5 linked regions of the Sus scrofa genome follow. The protein of the gene in region 2 purifies or fractionates together with the protein of the main gene of each other region. This does not show direct contact. Links are inferred from orthologs where the notes say so. Each region holds a gene or a part of one and is shown on either strand. Other genes may lie near its edges. The genes, in order: EXOC8, EXOC1, EXOC7, EXOC3 and EXOC6.

What was found.
Region 1: the proteins of EXOC1 (region 2) and EXOC8 purify together in Homo sapiens (affinity purification with mass spectrometry; 3 studies listed by BioGRID and IntAct, counting the BioPlex papers as one, with this or other methods). This does not show direct contact. The link is inferred for Sus scrofa from reciprocal best matches to the Homo sapiens genes EXOC1 and EXOC8.
Region 3: the proteins of EXOC1 (region 2) and EXOC7 purify together in Homo sapiens (affinity purification with mass spectrometry; 4 studies listed by BioGRID and IntAct, counting the BioPlex papers as one, with this or other methods). This does not show direct contact. The link is inferred for Sus scrofa from reciprocal best matches to the Homo sapiens genes EXOC1 and EXOC7.
Region 4: the proteins of EXOC1 (region 2) and EXOC3 purify together in Homo sapiens (affinity purification with mass spectrometry; 5 studies listed by BioGRID and IntAct, counting the BioPlex papers as one, with this or other methods). This does not show direct contact. The link is inferred for Sus scrofa from reciprocal best matches to the Homo sapiens genes EXOC1 and EXOC3.
Region 5: the proteins of EXOC1 (region 2) and EXOC6 purify together in Homo sapiens (affinity purification with mass spectrometry; 4 studies listed by BioGRID and IntAct, counting the BioPlex papers as one, with this or other methods). This does not show direct contact. The link is inferred for Sus scrofa from reciprocal best matches to the Homo sapiens genes EXOC1 and EXOC6.

The regions. Positions count from the first base shown.
Region 1 is NC_010456.5:59,191,158-59,195,151, reverse strand, and holds the start of EXOC8 (exocyst complex component 8), read right to left. Parts: upstream 2,808-3,994; 5' UTR 2,606-2,807; coding exon 422-2,605; 3' UTR 1-421. UniProt on the Homo sapiens protein: Component of the exocyst complex involved in the docking of exocytic vesicles with fusion sites on the plasma membrane.
Region 2 is NC_010450.4:55,209,878-55,213,392, reverse strand, and holds part of EXOC1 (exocyst complex component 1), read right to left. Parts: intron 2,891-3,515; coding exon 2,663-2,890; intron 2,251-2,662; coding exon 2,118-2,250; intron 1,507-2,117; coding exon 1,397-1,506; intron 320-1,396; coding exon 266-319; intron 1-265.
Region 3 is NC_010454.4:5,341,494-5,345,008, reverse strand, and holds part of EXOC7 (exocyst complex component 7), read right to left. Parts: intron 2,322-3,515; coding exon 2,154-2,321; intron 1-2,153. UniProt on the Homo sapiens protein: Component of the exocyst complex involved in the docking of exocytic vesicles with fusion sites on the plasma membrane.
Region 4 is NC_010458.4:79,727,466-79,731,662, forward strand, and holds the start of EXOC3 (exocyst complex component 3), read right to left. Parts: upstream 2,808-4,197; 5' UTR 2,559-2,807; exon of another isoform or gene 2,385-2,558; intron 1,426-2,384; 5' UTR 1,379-1,425; coding exon 1,235-1,378; intron 1-1,234. UniProt on the Homo sapiens protein: Component of the exocyst complex involved in the docking of exocytic vesicles with fusion sites on the plasma membrane.
Region 5 is NC_010456.5:104,546,939-104,550,149, reverse strand, and holds the end of EXOC6 (exocyst complex component 6), read right to left. Parts: intron 2,987-3,211; coding exon 2,874-2,986; intron 1,775-2,873; coding exon 1,642-1,774; 3' UTR 512-1,641; downstream 1-511. UniProt on the Homo sapiens protein: Component of the exocyst complex involved in the docking of exocytic vesicles with fusion sites on the plasma membrane.

The sequences.
Region 1 (3,994 bases), on a different chromosome or scaffold from region 2:
ACCAAAATTTACCCTGAAACCAGTTTTCTCAACTCCTCCTTTCTTTTCCCCAAATTGTTCAACCACATTTTAAGGTGCAGAAGTACACGAGGCAGGAATGGCACTGTGCCCTTTAAGAAACCTAGTGAACTGGGAAACTTTCAAAACACAAGTTGAAATGCTCTGGTGTGACGATATATAGTCATTAGAGAGTTAGCATAATTTAAAAGGAAAGCATATTGTATGTTCTACTAATTCAATGTTTTTGTTACGTGGGTTTAACATGTTTTTCAATCTCCTTTTGATTTTCGCATTTCTGAGAAGGCATCTTTTATTTTTAGGCTGTGTTTGAGACTATAAAGAATACGCTAATGCAACTTAATATAAATATAAATAATATATATAAGCCATATATACGTATACACATAAACAGGTCCAGGTGTCAGACCACTGACGTTGTACTTTCGGGATTCACACGAATCAGTCTCGATGCATTTCTCAGGTCCTGAAGTTGCTTGGCGGGTTTCCCCACACCTTCCTCAAACCTTTTCTCCACCACAGGCAGGACTGTTTCGTACAGAAAGGATGCATTCTGTCTGATAAAATTCTTCTTCTCTGGATCCTGCTCACACCGAAGACTGTAATCCACATGCTGAACAGCAACCAAAATGATTTCCACCAGGCTCTCCAACAGCACCATGTGCAGCTCCGGGAAATACAGCTTCAGCGCCTCTTCCAAGAAGCCCATGGTCTGTTTGGTGAAAGCCACCACCGTGTAACTCAGGTTCACCCAGCAGTCATCCCCCGTGTACTGCTCAAAGTTCCTCACCCCACAGCTCTTCATCTCCTCTTTGAGTTTACCCAGGGCCTCTGGAGTCATCAAGTTCATCCTCCTCCACATCTCCTCTGAGTTGCGATGCTTAGTGGCTTCGATGATGATTTCCTTGTAGCTGTGCAAGGCCCCCTGGATGTCTTTCACCAGGAGGGTGTGGATGATGAAGGTGAGGTCTAGCCCGATGTCACCCAGCTGCTGACAATGCTCCTTGGCCACCTTCACACACTCAGCTGCAGTGGAGAGGCTCTCCTTACTGTCGAACACCTGTTTGCTAAAGGCAGCCGCAAACGTGCCCAGGGCTGACCTCGCCCAGACCACGAAGGCCGAGTAGCAGCCCCCGTCGGTGCCTGCGAAGTCCGCCTCAAACTCCCTGGCCGTCTCGAGAAGGCTGGTGAAGAAGACGTGGCAGAGCTTGTGAATATAGAGTAAGGTGGCACCCTCGATGCGAAGCTGGCGGATTGCGGTATGCACAGCTGCTGCCCTGTTTCTCAAGAACAGCTCGCAAGCCTTAGTGCACTGGCCAAGCCGGATTAGTTGAGAAACGGCCCGACGCGTAGCCTTGGGACCGCCTCTCAGGGACCGATCCGGGGAGAGTTCAAAAACCAGCACCTCGGTGAGCTGGCGGACACGCTCATCCACTCTGGCCCTCAGTTCTTTTACAGCAGGTGGACTGGGCTTATCTTCCAGGTACTGGTTCAACTTATCCAGCAGGTCAACGGCCCCTTCAAAGTCCCTCTGGGCGATGCAAACATCCAGGTCTTCGGGCAATTCCTGGATCCATTCCATTGAGAGGTCCACCTTCTCTTCTTCCGCCTCAGGAACAGCTGGTTCGTCGTCGTCTTCATCTTCAAACGGGTTGCTGGCCTTGGAAGTCACTTGGGGTGGCCCTCGAGGGGCCGCTGCCTCCTCCTGCTCCCTGCGTCTTTTCTCACTGAGGGCCCTCTTGGTTTCCTCCAACACTTCCAGCCACTCGCGTTTGATTTTTGCATTTTCCGCCTGAAAAATACGACTCTCGGGAAACATTAGCAACTTGAACATGTCCTTCATGGGGGGATTGTCCTTGACATTGACTACGGCCAAACCATCCAGGGGATAGAGGGCGTCGTAGCGATACATCCCCCGCCGCTGTGGCAACCAGGTGGCCACCAGCAAACAGTCGTTCATGAGAAAGCCGTGCACTCGCTGCAACTGGGCCATATGATCCGCCTCGTATTCCACCAGGTCCCCGTTGTACACCAGGTACTGTCCCGGCGTCTCCAGCAGGTGCCTGCAGCCTTCCACCTTCTCCAGCAGAGTGGTAAGAGTGCGCTGCTTCCCTTCCTCGCCCGGACCAGAACTGTCGCGGGAGGCGCCCCCGGGACTTGGGAAAAAGCCAGCCTGGCCCCGGAGGTGATCGCGGCCCCCCGCGCTGCCTCCACCCTCCTCCCCTCCGGAGGCGGTGGCGGCCCCAGCAGCGGCTGCGGCGGCGGCCGGCAGCAGGGTGAGCGGGATGCTCTCCAGGTTGCTCTTCTGCTCGGTCAGCAGATGGCTAAGCTGGTACATCTCGCTCTCCAGGTAGGAGATCTCGCGGGCCGTCTCTATGAACTGCCGGTAGTTCTGGTAGACGTTACGCTTCAGGTTCTGCGCCGTCTCCTCCGCCAGCGCCTGGATGCGCTGCCGGTGCTCCTGCAGGTCCCGGTCCCCGTCCGACTGCTGCGAGAGCTGCTTCACGTACAGCCGCGCCTCGAAGCTGCCCGACTCCAGCTGCCGCCGCAGGCGGCTCGCCCCACTGTCTGACATCGCCATCGCCATTTCCGTCGGGGACTCACGTAGTCACTGTCACTATTACTACCGCCGCCGCTGCCGCCGCCGCCACTGTCGAGGCCCACCCAACCCGGCCGAGTCCAGGGCTGAGGAAGCAGGATGGAAGACAGGCGAGTACGCCTGCGCCCGGGTCTGAAGTCCGGACACTGCGCCTGCGCAAGATGCCCCTCGCAAACAGCGCGCCGGCGCAGGGTCGCCAGTGGCCTAGGGCGCATGCGCCGGAGAAGCTCCTGCGGAAGCGAGTGGAGGGCGGAGCAGCGAGGTGTAGATACTGCGCATGGGCCGAGCATGACGTTGATGTTTGACCGTACCCGCGAACCGTAAAGGCGGTATCCGGCTACTTGAAACCTTCCTCGGGCTCAAGCTTCGGGAACCCAAGTGTTGAGCCCACTAGGAGGTGTCATGCTGAATTTTCTTTGTTGTTTTAAGCCCTAGAATCTTGACTGGAGTTCGGGGCACGCTCGGTTCTCTTTCTCGAGCCGGAGTTTACTAGGTCTCGCGAGATCTGTGGCCTGACCCGAGAGTGGCCTGGGAGCTGGTATCTCCTAGGAGCACGGCTAGGCTCTCTGAGCCATCTGGACTCCGCCTGGTAGCCGGGCAGCCATGGATGAGGACCTGGTTCTGGCTCTTCGGCTTCAGGAAGAGTGGAACTTGCAGGTCTCGGAGCGCAATCCGGCCCAGGAGCCCCTGTCGCTGGTGGACGCGTCCTGGGAGTTGGTGGACCCCACGCCGGATTTGCAGGCCCTGTTTGTGCAGTTCAACGATCGTTTCTTCTGGGGCAAACTGGAGGCGGTGGAAGTGAAGTGGAGCGTGCGGATGACGCTGTGAGTGCCGAGCCCGCCGGGACCGGACAGCTGGCGGCCCTTCCGCTGCCCCGGCGCCGGGGCAGTGACCCGGGTCGGGTCTAGGGACAGCCAGCCGTTCTCGGGCTTCCTCTCCCTTCCCTTCCTTCCTCTCTCACTGCCCTTGGTTAGCTCTCAGAAAGCCGTGTGGCCCACCCCGCGGCGATCTGACCGGTAAGGAACACAGTGAGAGAGAAGGATGTTTCTCAGTTTCCAGGAAAATGAGTTCACCCCTTTCCCCTTTCTGATCTAGGACCCAGGAGGGAGAAACAGCCAGAATCGGCCCCTAAAGATGCTGAGGGCGCCGGGAAGTGTGCTGTCCTCAGCTGTGGTCTTTACGGCGCCGCTGCCTTGCAGTGAGCCGTGTGTCAGCTTGGGAAGGGGTCTATGTTTCCATAACTTTGGGACGCGGGGGTCTTCCGGGAGCCCTGTGAAAGGACCCTTTTCTTACCCGCTGAGTTGGAGAAAACCCCTTTTGAAATAAACGACTCCTGTACACCAACGGAGTTAACAAGTTTAAGGTGTAGCTGAACAC
Region 2 (3,515 bases):
CTTGGCAAAGATTTCTAAATAAACAAAGGAGTGAAAGAATGACAGGAAGGAAGCAGAAGACTGAGATTAAATGCTCCTTTTGGCTCAACTTTTTGTTACCGGCACATTGAAAAAAATGCTACAAATATGGTTAACGGGTAGCTTAGGTTAGCAAATTATAATCTGTAAAGATTCTGCTGCCGTTAAGTTTAGTAAAAGTTACAACAAAAAAAAAAAAAAAAAAAAAAAGAATCAGAGAAGCTGGAGCCAAAGTTGATGTACTCACAGGCACCGAAAGAAAGTAGGACCTGTTATAGAGCTGAAGGAGGGCCTGAGTAAACTAATGGGAAATAAAACACAGTAAATATGACTGCTTCAGAACACTGCAAAGTGAAAAGAAGAATCCAGTGTTTCAGAGAGTATCTCTTGATGAACAAAATTACCCTCAAATTTTTCCCCTAAACCCTATTAAAATAAGAGATAAAGTACACAAAATCTAATTTATTACATATTAAAATATGTTCTGTTCAAATCTAAGGTACTCTTAATAATATTATTAACATTAATTTCATTGCCACACATCAATTATAAGATCCCTTTCCATGTAAAAGTGCAGACAAAGAGCTTATATAAGATTAAACCTACTGGAATTAACAGCCCAGTTAGTCATTTCTCTCTGTCTTTTTTGTTGTTGTTGTTGCAGCATGCAGTGGCTTGATATGGCATCGCTGTTCTCAGACCAGGGATTGAACCCAGGCTGAAGTGGTAAGACTGCCAAGTCTTAACCACTAGGCTACCAGGGAACTCCCTCATTTTTCATATATATAAGTACATGCAGCCAATGGCATACTTAAAGCATGGAATTTAGTCCTAGTTCTCACTCCAAAATATTGAAAAATAAAACAGGTCAAATAGTAAAAAAACTCAGTTTTAGCTAAAAGGAACTAGACTGTCTTCCAAAGGAGGCTGTTGAGGGCCAAAATACATCTATGAGCAAATATGCACATATTTAAAGATATTATAATCAAATGAACGTGTGTAAGAATATACTATGACCCCAATTACACACATTAACATTTTTTGTGGGAATTTAACTTTTTTGTCTTTTTATGGCTGCACCTATGGCATATGGAGGTTCCCAGGCTACGGGCTGAATCAGGGCTGCAGCTGCTGGCCTGCACCACAGCCACAGCAACACCAGATCCAAGCTGAATCTGTGAACCTACACCACAGCTCATGGCAACGCCGGATCCTTAACCCACTGAGCGAGGCCAGGGATCAAACCCACATCCTCATGGAGACTGCTGGGTCCTTAATCTACTGAACCACAATGGGAACTCCTGTGAGAATTTAATTTTAAGCAAATATATGAACAACCTACAGAAAAATGCTAATATTAATAATAAAGTAAAATTACCTGCTGAACAAAAACATTGTTGAGATGACTGGCTAGCCTCCTGGCAAAATGCTCCCGCAAATCACTGAAACGCTGCTGTTGCTGCTTGACTGCCAGAAGCAGGTCGTGGCCTGAAACCATAACATTTCTTGAGTTATTTAATGGGTAAATAGAGCTCCTCCAGGTTTAATGAATACATTTGTAACAGTATTCACACTTCAGTTTTAAAGAACCCAGAGTTTTACTAGTTTATTCGTTTGCTTTAAGAAAGGAAGGTAATGGTTAAGATAGTACAGCACCGGGGTTTCCTCCAGGGTGCCTGCCCCAGCACCATCTGGGGACAGTGAGAGATGTGGATTCTAAGGCTCAGCCCAGACCTACGATTCTGGGCGTGGCATCTGGCAATGTGTACTTTAACAAGCTATCTAGGTGATTTTGATGCCAACTCTAGTTTTTGGACTGCTGGCTTAGCAAAACCACACGTCATCTCCTTTATGCTAGGTTCTGTAGACAGCACTGAAGAAAAATCACGTCAGTGAGAATCATCACTGGTCAATTGGAAGGAACTGATCAAAAACTTCTTAGTGCCAGTACAAATTGAGTTTGAAAATAAATGAAACTTGTTTGAGTAGAATAATGTCACCTGAACAACTTGCCCCATGTGTTTCTTGTCAAGCTTTATACCAAGTCACAGGCTTTACTCAGGTTCAAGGGCAGGTTTCCTGGCCTGCAGTGAACACACCTGGTCGAAGAGCCACATTCATGCACTGCAGGAGGGCGTCCGCGGCATTGGTACAGGCCTCGATGCCCCGTGAGGACGCCAGGTCTCCTTCCTGAAGCGCCTTTATGTGACCTTTGGCCAAGTCCAGGTGGTTCTGGAATATACAATAAATACACCATCTGCACACGTAAGCTTGGGAAATTTACAGGTAAAATGCTACTCAATCCTGCCACTAGGTCTTTGGAATTACAGGGTTTTAAATTTTGCTCCAAGAGAATTTGAAAATGTTTACACACAGGTTTTACATATTATCATGTTTCTTTTTTTTCTTTTTAGGGCTGTACCATCGGCATTCAGAAGTTCTCAGCCTAGGGGCTGAATTGGAGCTGCAGCTCCTGGCCTCCACACCACAGCTCATGGCAAAGCTGGATCCTTAACCCACTGAGCAAGGCCATGGATTGAACCTGTGTCCTCACGGATCCTAGTCGGGTTTGTTACTGCTGAGCCATGATAGGGACTCCCTTTAGATTGCTTTATTGTTGCTGGTAATTTATAATCACACTCACCACAAGGAACTCTATCTCGGACAAAAGTTTGACATTGTTGGTGTTGCTAAGGTGAATCAGGTGGTTGCTCTCTGAGATCTGATCCATTTGCTCTTTCACGCTCTGGAGCATTTCCTCATAGCTGCTCAGCTTCACTTCGATCTGATCCACCTCATCCAGAGCCTCATCCAGCAGCTTCATGAGGGTGTTCACTTGCTTCTCCGAGGCCATGATTGACTGGATGTTGGCCTATGATGTTAAAAAGAAAATACTTCCTACTCTTAGAATGTGTAAAAGAGGGATAAAAGTGAAATAGCAATAAATCTCTTTGACAGCAGAGTAACATAGGCTGATACACACATCTACTCAGCCGCTTTATCAGATTGTGTTTATTTTTATTTCTTTAGGGCTGCACCAGCGGCATGTGGAAGTTCCCAGGCTAGGATTCTAATTGGAGCTGTAGCTGCTGGCCTACACCACAGCCACAACACCATACAAGATCCTTAACCCACTGAGCAAGGCCAGGGATCGAACCCACATCCTCATGGATCCTAGTTGAGTTCGTTAACCACTAAGCCACCAAGGGAACTCCAGACTGTGTTTATATTCCCCCTTTTTATGCAGTATTTCAGGAAAGTATACTGTCCTCTCTATCAAGGCGAGGGACCATGCCTCAGTATTGTGGATCTCTGCAGGCTGAACAAGCATCAGTAATGGTATATGGTGTTTCTGTAAATTGACTGGCAGTAGATTAGGTCATCTCTGACACCTCTTCCAATTCTATCAGCTACAGAATGTTTCTATACTTTGTAATATTGACGTAAAACGCCAAGTGGAGCATCATGATCTCTGTCAATCCCTCCGTCACGAGGGG
Region 3 (3,515 bases), on a different chromosome or scaffold from region 2:
CGTGGGGAAATATAAAAACAGCACTGAAAACAGACATGCGCAGCTGCCCTGATAACCAGATGGGCCGGGGCCGGGAAGGCAGCCCTGAGTGGGATCTGGTCCCTTTTCCCTGGAGACGCCCAGGTCCTCCACCGCAGCTCTGAACACGGGGAGCCTGCTGGGGTCCTGGCAGCTCCCCAAAGGACTGAGGGAGAGGGGACGGCGTCTGGAGCGGCTGTTTGTGCCAACCACAATTAGTTACTCATGAGCCAGTGTGCGGCTCCAGCCCGGCACCTGTCTCGCTGTGTTCTCCTCCTTCAGCAAGTAGTCCTGCTAATGAGCGATTCAGATTCCCGCCCCACAACCAACTAGGACCAGATGGGCCCGCCGGGCCATCAGGAGCCTCGCCAGCACACTGGCATGTATGTGGGTCGGGGACGCTGATCTGGCAGCCGCTAAAGCCATCAGGCGCCCAGTTACCACGGATGTCGCTGAGGCTGGTGTCTCGTTACCCCCGAGGCCACCCTGCCCCTCTCCTCAAGAGCTGGGGGCCTGCCTCTAGCTCCCAACATCGGACCTGAGCCCCAAGGTTCCGGACAACCCTTGAAACCCCAAAGAAACCAGAGGGACGCTCACAGCCGGCGTTTTCCTTCTAGGGCTACAGGGCTGGGATGGATGAGGTCCACTGGGAGCCCAAAGATCAGATCTCTGGTCCCTGCATGGCCAGCAGCATCCTGCATGTGGCCTGGGTTCCAGGCCTCCAGGGGTCCCAGAGGAGACAGAGGGGAAGAAAGCACAGCCCGGCCGGGGCCCAGCAGCCTCGTGGAAACAGCCGCAGCCCAATGCACGAGGCACAGGCACGAACCAGGCCTCGAGCAGGCAGCTGCGGCTGCCCTGGCTGGCTTGTAGAGTCCCTGACCGTGGCAGGTTCTCCGAGGGAGCAGCCAGGAGAGCCAAGCTGGAGGGGAAGGCTGTGCACTTTCTGCTGGGCTGCCCGGCCTCTGGACCTCGACGCTGTGCCTCTGCGGGCAGCCTCTGCCATTTCTCTAAGCCCTGAACAAAGCGCTGGGGAGGAGCAGATGCTCGGGCCACTGTGAGCAGATCTCCTGCTCTCTGAGAGGCCGGGCAGCTCGGGAAAACACTGTCCCAAGGGACGGGTCCCAGAGCAGCTGGACGGGGTGGGCGAAAGTGGGAGCAGCCCCAGGGCTCGCTGGCTCTCTCTCCTGGTGCCTGCAGCCCCTCCGCTGGAACCCCCACCCCGGCCTCTCGAAGGCAACCCCTCTCAGCAGCCAGAACAGCCAGGCTTGTCAAGCCGAAGCTGACACACAGGGACACTGTCACCTGGAGCAGAGACTACAGGGGACAGGATGATGGGAAGAAGGACAGACAGTGAGCTGCTCGCCCAGGCCAACCAACAAGCCACAGCCCAGGCCTCTTCCACCTCAATGCCCCTCCCTCAACTCTCCCACCGCAAGGCACCAACTTCTTGCGGAGCCCAAAAGCCAGGTGAGGGTCTTTGGAGAGGATGGCCTGGGATGGTTTTCTTTCTGGACTGACTGTAAAAGCATAAACGTTCCTGTATCTACTTTTTTTTTGCCATGGCTGAGGCATGTGGAAATTCCCGGGCCAGGGATCGAACCTGCGCCACAATAGTAACCAGAGCCACAGCAGTGACAACACCAGATCCTTAACCCTTTGAGCCACCAGGGAACTCCTCTGCTCTCCACTTCTTAGCTACTCATCACTTCAGGCCACTCTGGCTTTCTGGGAGGTGAAGGCTGCAGTGCCTGCCCCTCGCCCTGCACCCCTGACACCCTGCCCCAATCTCACAGCTGGGTGGCAGCAGCATGCCTGGCCTCCCAACAGGACACTAGAGGGAGAGGACGGGGGCCCAATAAGTGGCTCTGCTCCGGCACCCCTGTCACCCCACGTCTCCGTGCTGTGACCCTCCACTCCAAGGACACTTATATAAGCCCTAGACTCGGCTGGGTGGAGAGAGGAGCTCTTTTGGGGGGCGGACACCTGCCTGCTGTCCTGTGCCCCTACAGTCAGGGGCTACCGTGAGGACAAACCCTAGGGCCCTGGCGCCGCCCACCCCGGGGTGGGTGGCCAAAGGCCACCCAGGTCCCACAGCCTTCTGGCGGGTTCTGAAGTGGGCCAGGGCGGGGGCTCACCTGGCCGCTTGACTGGCTTCTTGGTGGGTGTGTCTTTCCTCTTGTTGGGGATGGCGGGGGAGTAGGGAACCCCAGAGGAAGAACTGCTCTTCCGGAAGTGCTCCTTCAGGCCTTTGATGGAGCGGTCCAGCTGGCTCGAGCGGATCTGGTAGTAGACGTTCATGAAATCTGCGGACAGACGGGTGACAGCTGGGTCCCTGCCTCCGCCAGACCCCGGGGCCCCCCTCCCCCGCCAGAGGCAGCTCCAGAGGGCAGCAGCAGGCCCGCTCTTTCCACTTGCAGACCCTTTCCCAGCAGCCTCGTGGCCTCGTCCTGCATCTGGAAAAGCCTTAAAAGGGAAGACATTTCCCCGCAGAACCAATAATTCGTTGTAAGTTCTGAAGGTGAGGGGTTTTTTTTCTTTTAGAATTTTTTTTTATTATAGTTGATCTACAACGTTCTGTCAATTTCTGCTGGGCAGGTAAGTTTTTGAGATTTTAAGAAAATAGAAAATTAGCAGCCGGATTCAACTTGGTAATGTATTCTTTTTTATCTTGTTCAGCCACACCCACGGCACATGGAGGTTTCTGGGCCAGGGATCAAATCTGAGTTGCAGCTTCGAACTATGCCATCGCTGTGGCAACGCTGGGTCCTTAACCACTGCGCTTGCCGGGGATTGAACCTGCGCCACCACTGGATCCTTAATCTACTGTGCCACAGCGGGCACTCCTCGACTTGGTAAATTTATAGGTGGTAAAGAGACAACGAATGTCACTGAGTGAAAAAACACACCATCTCTTTAGCCATGAACGAAGTGCAAATTTAAAAAAACTAGAGGACCGTGGCAGCCCTGTTAAATAGCTAAGATAAGCAAAATTAATGAAGAAGAAATAACTGCAGGGTTGTCAACAGGTCAGCAGACTGGTCCCATCTACCTGGAGAGGAACTCGAGACGGCAAGAAGGTTACAGATCTGTTCAGACAGTTCTACCTGATAACTGTACCTTTGAGAAAATACCCCCAAAGAACTCCCTAAATAAGAAGAGCAATGGGGGTTCCCATCATGGCAAAGAGGAAAGGAATCTGACTAGGAACCATGAGGTTGCAGGTTCGATCCCCCCTGGCCTCGCTCAGAGGGTTAAGGATCCGGCATTGCCATCAGCTGTGGTGTAGGTCACAGATGTGGCTTGGATCCTGCGTTGCTGCAGCTGTGGGGTAGACTGGCAACTGTAGCTCTGATTCAACCCCTAGCCTGGGAACCTCCATATGCCATGGGCGCAGCCCTAAAGAAAACTGGACAATCCAAAAATGCAAACGAGCCTGGAGAAGTATGGATGCTGTGGTACATTTCAGCAGGTCCCAACAAGTGTATCCCAAGGAACCC
Region 4 (4,197 bases), on a different chromosome or scaffold from region 2:
ACCACTGGTACGGCCCTAAAAAAAGCACACACACAAAAAAGTAGCAGGTCTAAACTATTTTTAAAATTGACATGAAACTGTTTCAAGCCAGCCTAACAGGTCTTTCAATGCTTTGCTGGTGCAAATGAGTGATCACCCTTCCATCTCATCACACTCGCCATTATCTGGACGCTACCAATGCTTTTCACCTGGAGGGGGCCTCACTGCCGCCTCGCTGGGAAGATTCACCTTCCTCACAGCCATTCTCTCCCTTTGTGTTTTTAACTCAATGAATTTTATTCCATTTGTAGGTGTACAACAATCATCACAACCAAATTTTACAGCATTTCTATCCCAAACCCCCAGCCCATCCCCCCACCCCCAACCTGTCTCCTTTGGAAACCGAAAGTTTTTCAAAGTGAGTTAGTGTCTGTTATGCAAAGAAGTTCCTTGTGCCCTTTTTTCAATTCCACATGTGACAGCATATGACATTGGTGTCTCACTGTCTAACTCCACTTGGCATGATAATTTTCTTGGTCCAACCACGTTGCTACAAATGCCATTCTTTCTTTACTTTTAATGGCTGAGTAATATTTCATTGTGTACATGTATCAAAGGCATTCTCTTAAATCCGCAAAGACTGCTGTGCTGCCAGGCAACTATAACAGGCCAGGTTCTTAACTTTTTTATAACTGTACCAAATGTGCATTATTTTAAAAGAACCTCATCTCTCCACATGAAATGAGCTGAAAGCCAATCTAAATCATAAAAGGCTGCCGCCTTTCTTTCTTGCCTCACTCTCACACACTCTAGTAAATGTGGTCAGCTCTCCTCTTTCCCATCCCAGGGCCTGCAGAGTGCCTGGCACACAGTCAGCCTCCTGCTGTGTGTGCTAGCAGGATCCAAACGAAATGCCCTCTGGACACAGTCTGAAGGAAAGTTTTTAGTAAATAAGTGTTTTTTTAAATAGTTAAATGGACACTTCTGGGTGCTTAAAAGACTGTTCCTCTGGCTTTTTAAATCTTCCCACGGTCTTCTCTATAAACCTACCGGCTGGCAAGGAACTGTTGGAAAGGATGCACTAACAAAGGCAAAGTCCATGGCCTGCCTCTCTTCATGGCATCACAAAGCCCAGCTCGGCAAAATTACAATGATTCTGCTAAGCAGGAACCTGAACTTGGGACAAAAGGCTCGGTCCAGCCTGAGAGTGAAGCAGGCGCCCACAGCCACCCCAGTCTCCACTCCAGTCTCATACCTTCAGCCTGGCTTCCACGGAGGCCTTCTTCCTGGCCTCTCTTCTGCGGTACTGCTCCACTTTGTCCAGCTGGTCCGGGCGCTGGAGCATCCCGGCAACCCTCTGGACAGCTGTTGCAACAGCCTCCCGGTCCGTCTCCTTCATGGTTACAGAGCAGGCAGAATCTCTGCACCTGTCATACTAGGGATACCCTGTGTCCACAGGCAGAGACAGAACAGGAGAGGAGGATGTGTCAGGAAGGTAGAGATGTCAGGTACAAAGCATCCCCCTGCTCCAGTAACATTCAGTTGTTCACAGTGGAGCTATAAGGAGAGCATTTGAGATCATTAATCTAATAGACATGAAACACAGCTGAGCTAGGATTATGACCTCCTTGATATGAAACACAAACCTTCAGAACCCAGTGTTATCCCTAAGGGGCGCAGAGGCAATTACAAGCATAAGATATTAACATGCGGATCCAGACTACTCAGCACCTCAGATGTCAATCTCCCCCGGACAGGTCCAATTTCTAATTGCCACCAGCCCTGACTAGCCAGTGGGGCCGAGGTGCCAGGACGCCTCAGGAAAGCTATGGAGGCACAGTGACAGCACACACTTTACCGTGCCTGCTCAAGTTTGAGCACCATCCTCTGATCCCCCTCAAAATCACTGTCTGTAGCACCCAAAATTCCATTCCCTACTGCTTAACAGCCCTAGTAAACAGAGGTGAGAGGGCACAAGGCACTCTGCTCAGATGCAATGTACACAGCACAGATGCTGCATACAAGCACACCTGCCTTCAGCGCCAGCTCCTCCAACCTGCCAGCCAGGGAGCTGGCGACGCCTGCTGAGCTTTCGGCAAAGCAGAGGACTGACTTCAGCTACTGAAGTCCATTTCCATGCACATTTTCTGCGCACGGCTTCTCAAAGATATTTCTCAAAGCAACGCGAGGTCCGCGGAGACCCTTGAGGGACCTGTGAAATAACTCCCCCGTCTGCACACGAGTGCGTTCCGTGTTCTCTCGGAATGTGCTGTGGCGCCGTCTCTCCCCTCCCGGTGCTGACTAGGGCACCGCGCACACGACGGGACACACGGGGCTGGGGGGCGCCGGCGTGTCTCCCCGCCCGTCTCCGCCGCGGACCCCCAGCCGCGCCCGCAGCTCTGCACCTGCTACTCCCCACCGCCTGGCGCGCCGTCAGCCTCTCCACGGACCGTCCCCGGGCCTCCCACGGCCTCCCGCACTGCCTTCCGGCCGCGCCCGCACCCGCCCGAGCCCGGGGAGAGGACAGCGGCCACGGACCGCGACTCCCGGACTGTGCCACCCGCCCGCAGCGGCCTCACCTTGCGAGCCGCCGCCGCCGCCGCCCGGAAGTGAGCCGCGACCGGCACTTCCGCTTCCGGCCTCGTGACCGGAAGGGGGTGGGCCCGGCGGGCGGGACCTTTGTTGGGCGGGTCCCTGTGCACAGAGCTGGGAGATTTCGGGACCCGCTGTCGATAGGGACCCGCTGTCGACCGGGACCCGCTGTCGACCGGCACCCGCCGAGAGTCGGCCGGGGCTGCGGGACGAGCGCGGAGCCGGGAACCGGGCGGCTGGGCTGAAGCCTGAGGGGCGGAGCGCGAGCGCATACACCCAGCGCGGAGACGCCTCTCACGGACGTCACAGGCACGCAGACACCCTACACACACCACATATAGACAGGCCACACCGCACACACGGGGCGCACAAGCACACACATGCACACGCCTGGGCTCGTGGGGGCAGGGGGCACGTGGGGGCAGGTGTATGAGTCCCCCAGTGCGGTGGCCCTATAAACCCAAACCTCCCAGCCCCCGCCCTCGCGGGGCCTCCAGTCCCTGGGCCTCCTCCACCTCCTGCCCCGTCTTGGCCCAGAGGCCGCCTTTCCCACAAAATCGCCGCTTGGCTATAAGACCCCAGCTGTTCCATCTGTGCCGCCATGTTCCCTCCAGAGGCGTTGCAGAATTTACCCAGCTCTTGGGTCACTTATCTGCACCCCGTCCCCTGTACACGTGCACAGGGGTGTCAGCGGCAGCACAGCCGCATTTCTCCATCTTTTTTTCCTAATGTGTCTTAAGCACTATCACAGGGCCTGGTATTCAGCAGGGGATGGACTGAAGGAAGGAAATGCACATAGAACAGCTCACTACCACTTCGCAGAGACAAAGCTAGAACATCTGATGGCGGGGCTTCATTTGCAAAATCAAGAAGACATTTCCACTTAAAGCAGACACATACTAACATTTATTTTACATCCATATTGCGAATTTAACAAGAACCACAGTATCAGAAATGCATTTGAAAGCTCTTTCTAAAGGCACTGAGAAAAAGTACAAAAAGTTACATTATAGTGCATCCAATTTTTAAAAATTCAACGAGTCAGTCTCCATATTGAAAGTTTTTTTCATCCAGTAGAAACTGCAAAAATATAAAATACAATTTGTGTTTGTCTTTTCCCTTCCATATCATTCCTGTATACTTGATTTTAATATGTTCTCAGCTACACAGCCAAAAGCTACAGACAATAGAAACATATAAGCCGGTAATTAGTACTGGTAATGACATTTTAAAGCAGAAATGGCCACGCCTACAGAAATGGCCAGATCTGACCTTCTACATTCCATCATCACCTTCCCCACACAATTTTTCCATAGGGGCATGGCTGTAAAATCACAAAAGTGCTGACTGGGGGAAGTTTTGTTGCCACCGACCCAGCAGAGGAAGGGACCAGGGCACATCAGGACCTGGGTCCCAAGCATGATGGTACCTTTAGAACACAAACCCCTCAGAGCTGGTGTCCAGATGCTGATTCCACACCAACAAGGCTTAATCTGCCTGTCCACCAACCGTGACCAGTTTGGTGCACGTGGTCCCAGGGGAGTGGCCACAGATGGGTGCTCTGAACCTCCAGGAACATGGCTTGGGTGCCACAGCCCTTGTGGGCAGGGGTGGCTGTGTGTCCTT
Region 5 (3,211 bases), on a different chromosome or scaffold from region 2:
CCAGGTCTCAGGGTTATAGTCGCTACAGCGCGCAACTCGAAGTTGGGGGTGGGGGAGAGTGCAGGGTGCTTGTTTTACTGAAAAGAGTAAAGTGAACTCCTCAAATCCATCACTGCTGAGGACCCACAGTGGTCTGCCGCAGGCAGTGCAAAGACAGCATGTCTCTCTCTCCGAATCGAGGATGCCTCAGCCCAAGCTGGAGACGTTCTGAGTGCCCTGGAGGGCTGGGTAAGGCACCCAAGGGACACCACATTCCAGTCCTCAGAGAGAGCTAGCTTTGAGGTGAACTAGCTGTTCACCCATTCTGCTTCTCTTGTAACTTCCAGATTGTATTGTTACCATGTTTTCTATGTAACGTTTTTTAAAATGTTAAATACTTTTGAATAAGAGCTGGCCAAGGGAATATATGATTGTTTTCTTTGCTTTGATGACACTTTCCAATTACCAGAGAATAATAGCCTTTCTGAAGGAAGCAGTTATTTTAAGTGGCTCTAAATAGATACAATAGTAATGAATTTTCAACTTGCTCAACCTTTTTAATATTTCATCACAAAATCAAAAAACATACATGTAATTCTTTACACTTATTTTTACAGAGTCAAACATAAGTTTCTTACAGGCATAAATCCTGAAAATGCAAAAGGACCATTCAGCATAAATACAATGAAGAGAAAGTAAGGATCAGGCTGACATTGCCATTTGGACCGTAGTACTTTACACAGAGTAAATGTACATTCGTTTTGGGTTTTCCAGAGTTCATTCGGTTTGGTTTGTTTCCACAGTAAGGATACAGTACTCAGAGCTGCTCTTTGAAGAAGGTAACCTGACCCCTGTGGTGACTTCTGTGTGTAGGAACACTTCTATCCTAGCACAAGCTGCATCTGAGGTGGTTAGCCGTTTAGTTTCTGTCCTTCTAACTTGAACCAAACCAAACTAAATAAATAGGGTCAGCCACAAACAATATAGTTAGAAATATTAATCCTGCTGAACAGAAACAACATTGCCTCTGTAGAAAATCCAAACACCTTTTCTTCATAGCTTCAGATTAAATTAAACCACCTCAGTAGAACAAATAATTCACATTCTTATTGGGTTAAATCAAGTTTGATTTCAGTGGCCTTTAAAGATTTGTCTATTCCTTCCTCAGAATCAGCAGAATTGGAAAACTTAGTCTACTTAAATCACACTAAGGTAAAAATTCAAGCTAAAAGGTCAGAAAATGAAATATCAGACATAATTGCATTCCAAAACCAGATACTGAGGGAAAAAAAAAAACCCAGAAAAAATCATTTACGTCTAAATAGAAAAAGAATACTTATATGTAGAGACGTAAGTTTTTCTAATATATTTACAATCAGTTTCATATACATTTTGACCTTATTTATATATTACAGTCTTGCCTTTTTTCCCTAAAAGTGAAAAAAATTAATGTCACATTTTCCATATATAAAATAGTATTCAATTATTTAAAAATCCATACAAATGATATTTATAATTGTTTCTTGTTTAAGCTCTCATCAGTGTCTTTTCTCTAATGTATTTTCGAATTCTTCAAACAACTTTCTGTATCATGAGCAGTGCCTGTCAGAGATCAATGATGAGTCACGGATTTGGTGTCACTGAGTGCAAGCGATGTGAAGTCTATGAGTGCTGGGACATACCATTCACCAAACTTCTCAGCTGTTTCACGACTGTCTCTATCAACTTCTGTTTGTCTCGATCATTCTTTCTGAATTGAGCAAATATATTGTTCTTTTTGCTAGTATCCTTCATCCTAGGAATATATGTGAATTATTATGAAATGTTTATTAGTAAAAGGAAATTAAAAGTTGCACTGTCACAAGTAAAATATCTCGGTGTGCTCTGGATTAGCTCACCCTAATCCTATGCTTGAAAAATATACTTCAAAGAAAATAGGTACTACTAATAGAATTACAGAGATAGCAACCACACAGATTATTAGCAGCTTTATTTTGCATTCTATATGAAGTCCTCTTTTTGCATTAGTATGCAAATATAAAGCATGTTAAGTTTTCTCATACCATTCATAAAGTATGCTAAAACATATACCCTCTAGACTTTGCGTATCACTCAGAGCAAGACAGGGTGAAAGCAAAAGTAACACTAGAAAATTTAAAGCAGCAAATTTTTTGCCTCAGTTGTGTTTTATGGCACTGTAAAACAAGTTTACATTTATTTAAAATAGGTATTTGTTTTCTCTCAAATCAAATACACCACAGATATTCTGAAATGTGGGAAAATTGAAAATTGTAATAGTGATATTTAAAGTGAAAAATGATTAAAAAAATGAAATGAAATAGGCTAAAGTGAAAAGAAAACCTGCCACATAATGAGAAGGAAAAGTAGTACCTACAGTTGTGTTATTACTAACTGGAAAGGGCGCGCTGGTTAATTCAGTTTTTATAATATTATTTTTTCAAAACTCATACTTCTCTACCTGTAAAGAATCCAAGCCCATCATGGTAGGATTTAGACAGCACTGGTGGCAAACATTCCAATCCCTGGCTATGTTTTACAAAATACCTTCTTTCCTGTGTTACAGTATTTTTAAAAAATAGTTCCAATTCTCACTTACCTCCAGTAAACGTATTTCTAAAGCCAATTAAGCCAGGTATTGAGGGTACAATAGGAAAAATGTTTTGTTCATATCAACGTAAACAGCAATCTCATATAAAATTACACTGACATTGAAGGCGAGTAAGACAGAGGCTTAAGTTTTGGTCATTGAAAAGAACTGAACTTGGAAGCTCATGGAGACATTTTTCTTTTGATAAAAATCCCTAGTTCTTCAAGTATCACTGAATCGCAAAATGCTTAAATGGTATGCAAAGAAAACTGCAGAATATACTCACTTCTCTAGAAGAGTAAGGGCTGTGTTTGGATTCACCCGAAGGTACTTGGAAGCTGGCTGACCATAATCAGCTAGATAAGTAGACCAGTCCCAAACCATAAACAGATCAAGGAGCTGAGGAAGATGTGGAAACACGTTAAACCAATTTTTGGCTATTTATCTACAGATAATATAAAGTATATGCTGCTCTTGATCCATTTTAATGTGACCTGCTTCTCAGATGGAACATAATAAGGAAATTCATTCTTAAAAACTGCATTAACTACATTTTATAACCAACATAGTGTATAATATCTTTTCACTTTTGAAATTACTAAAATTGTCAGAGGTTGCTTTTCT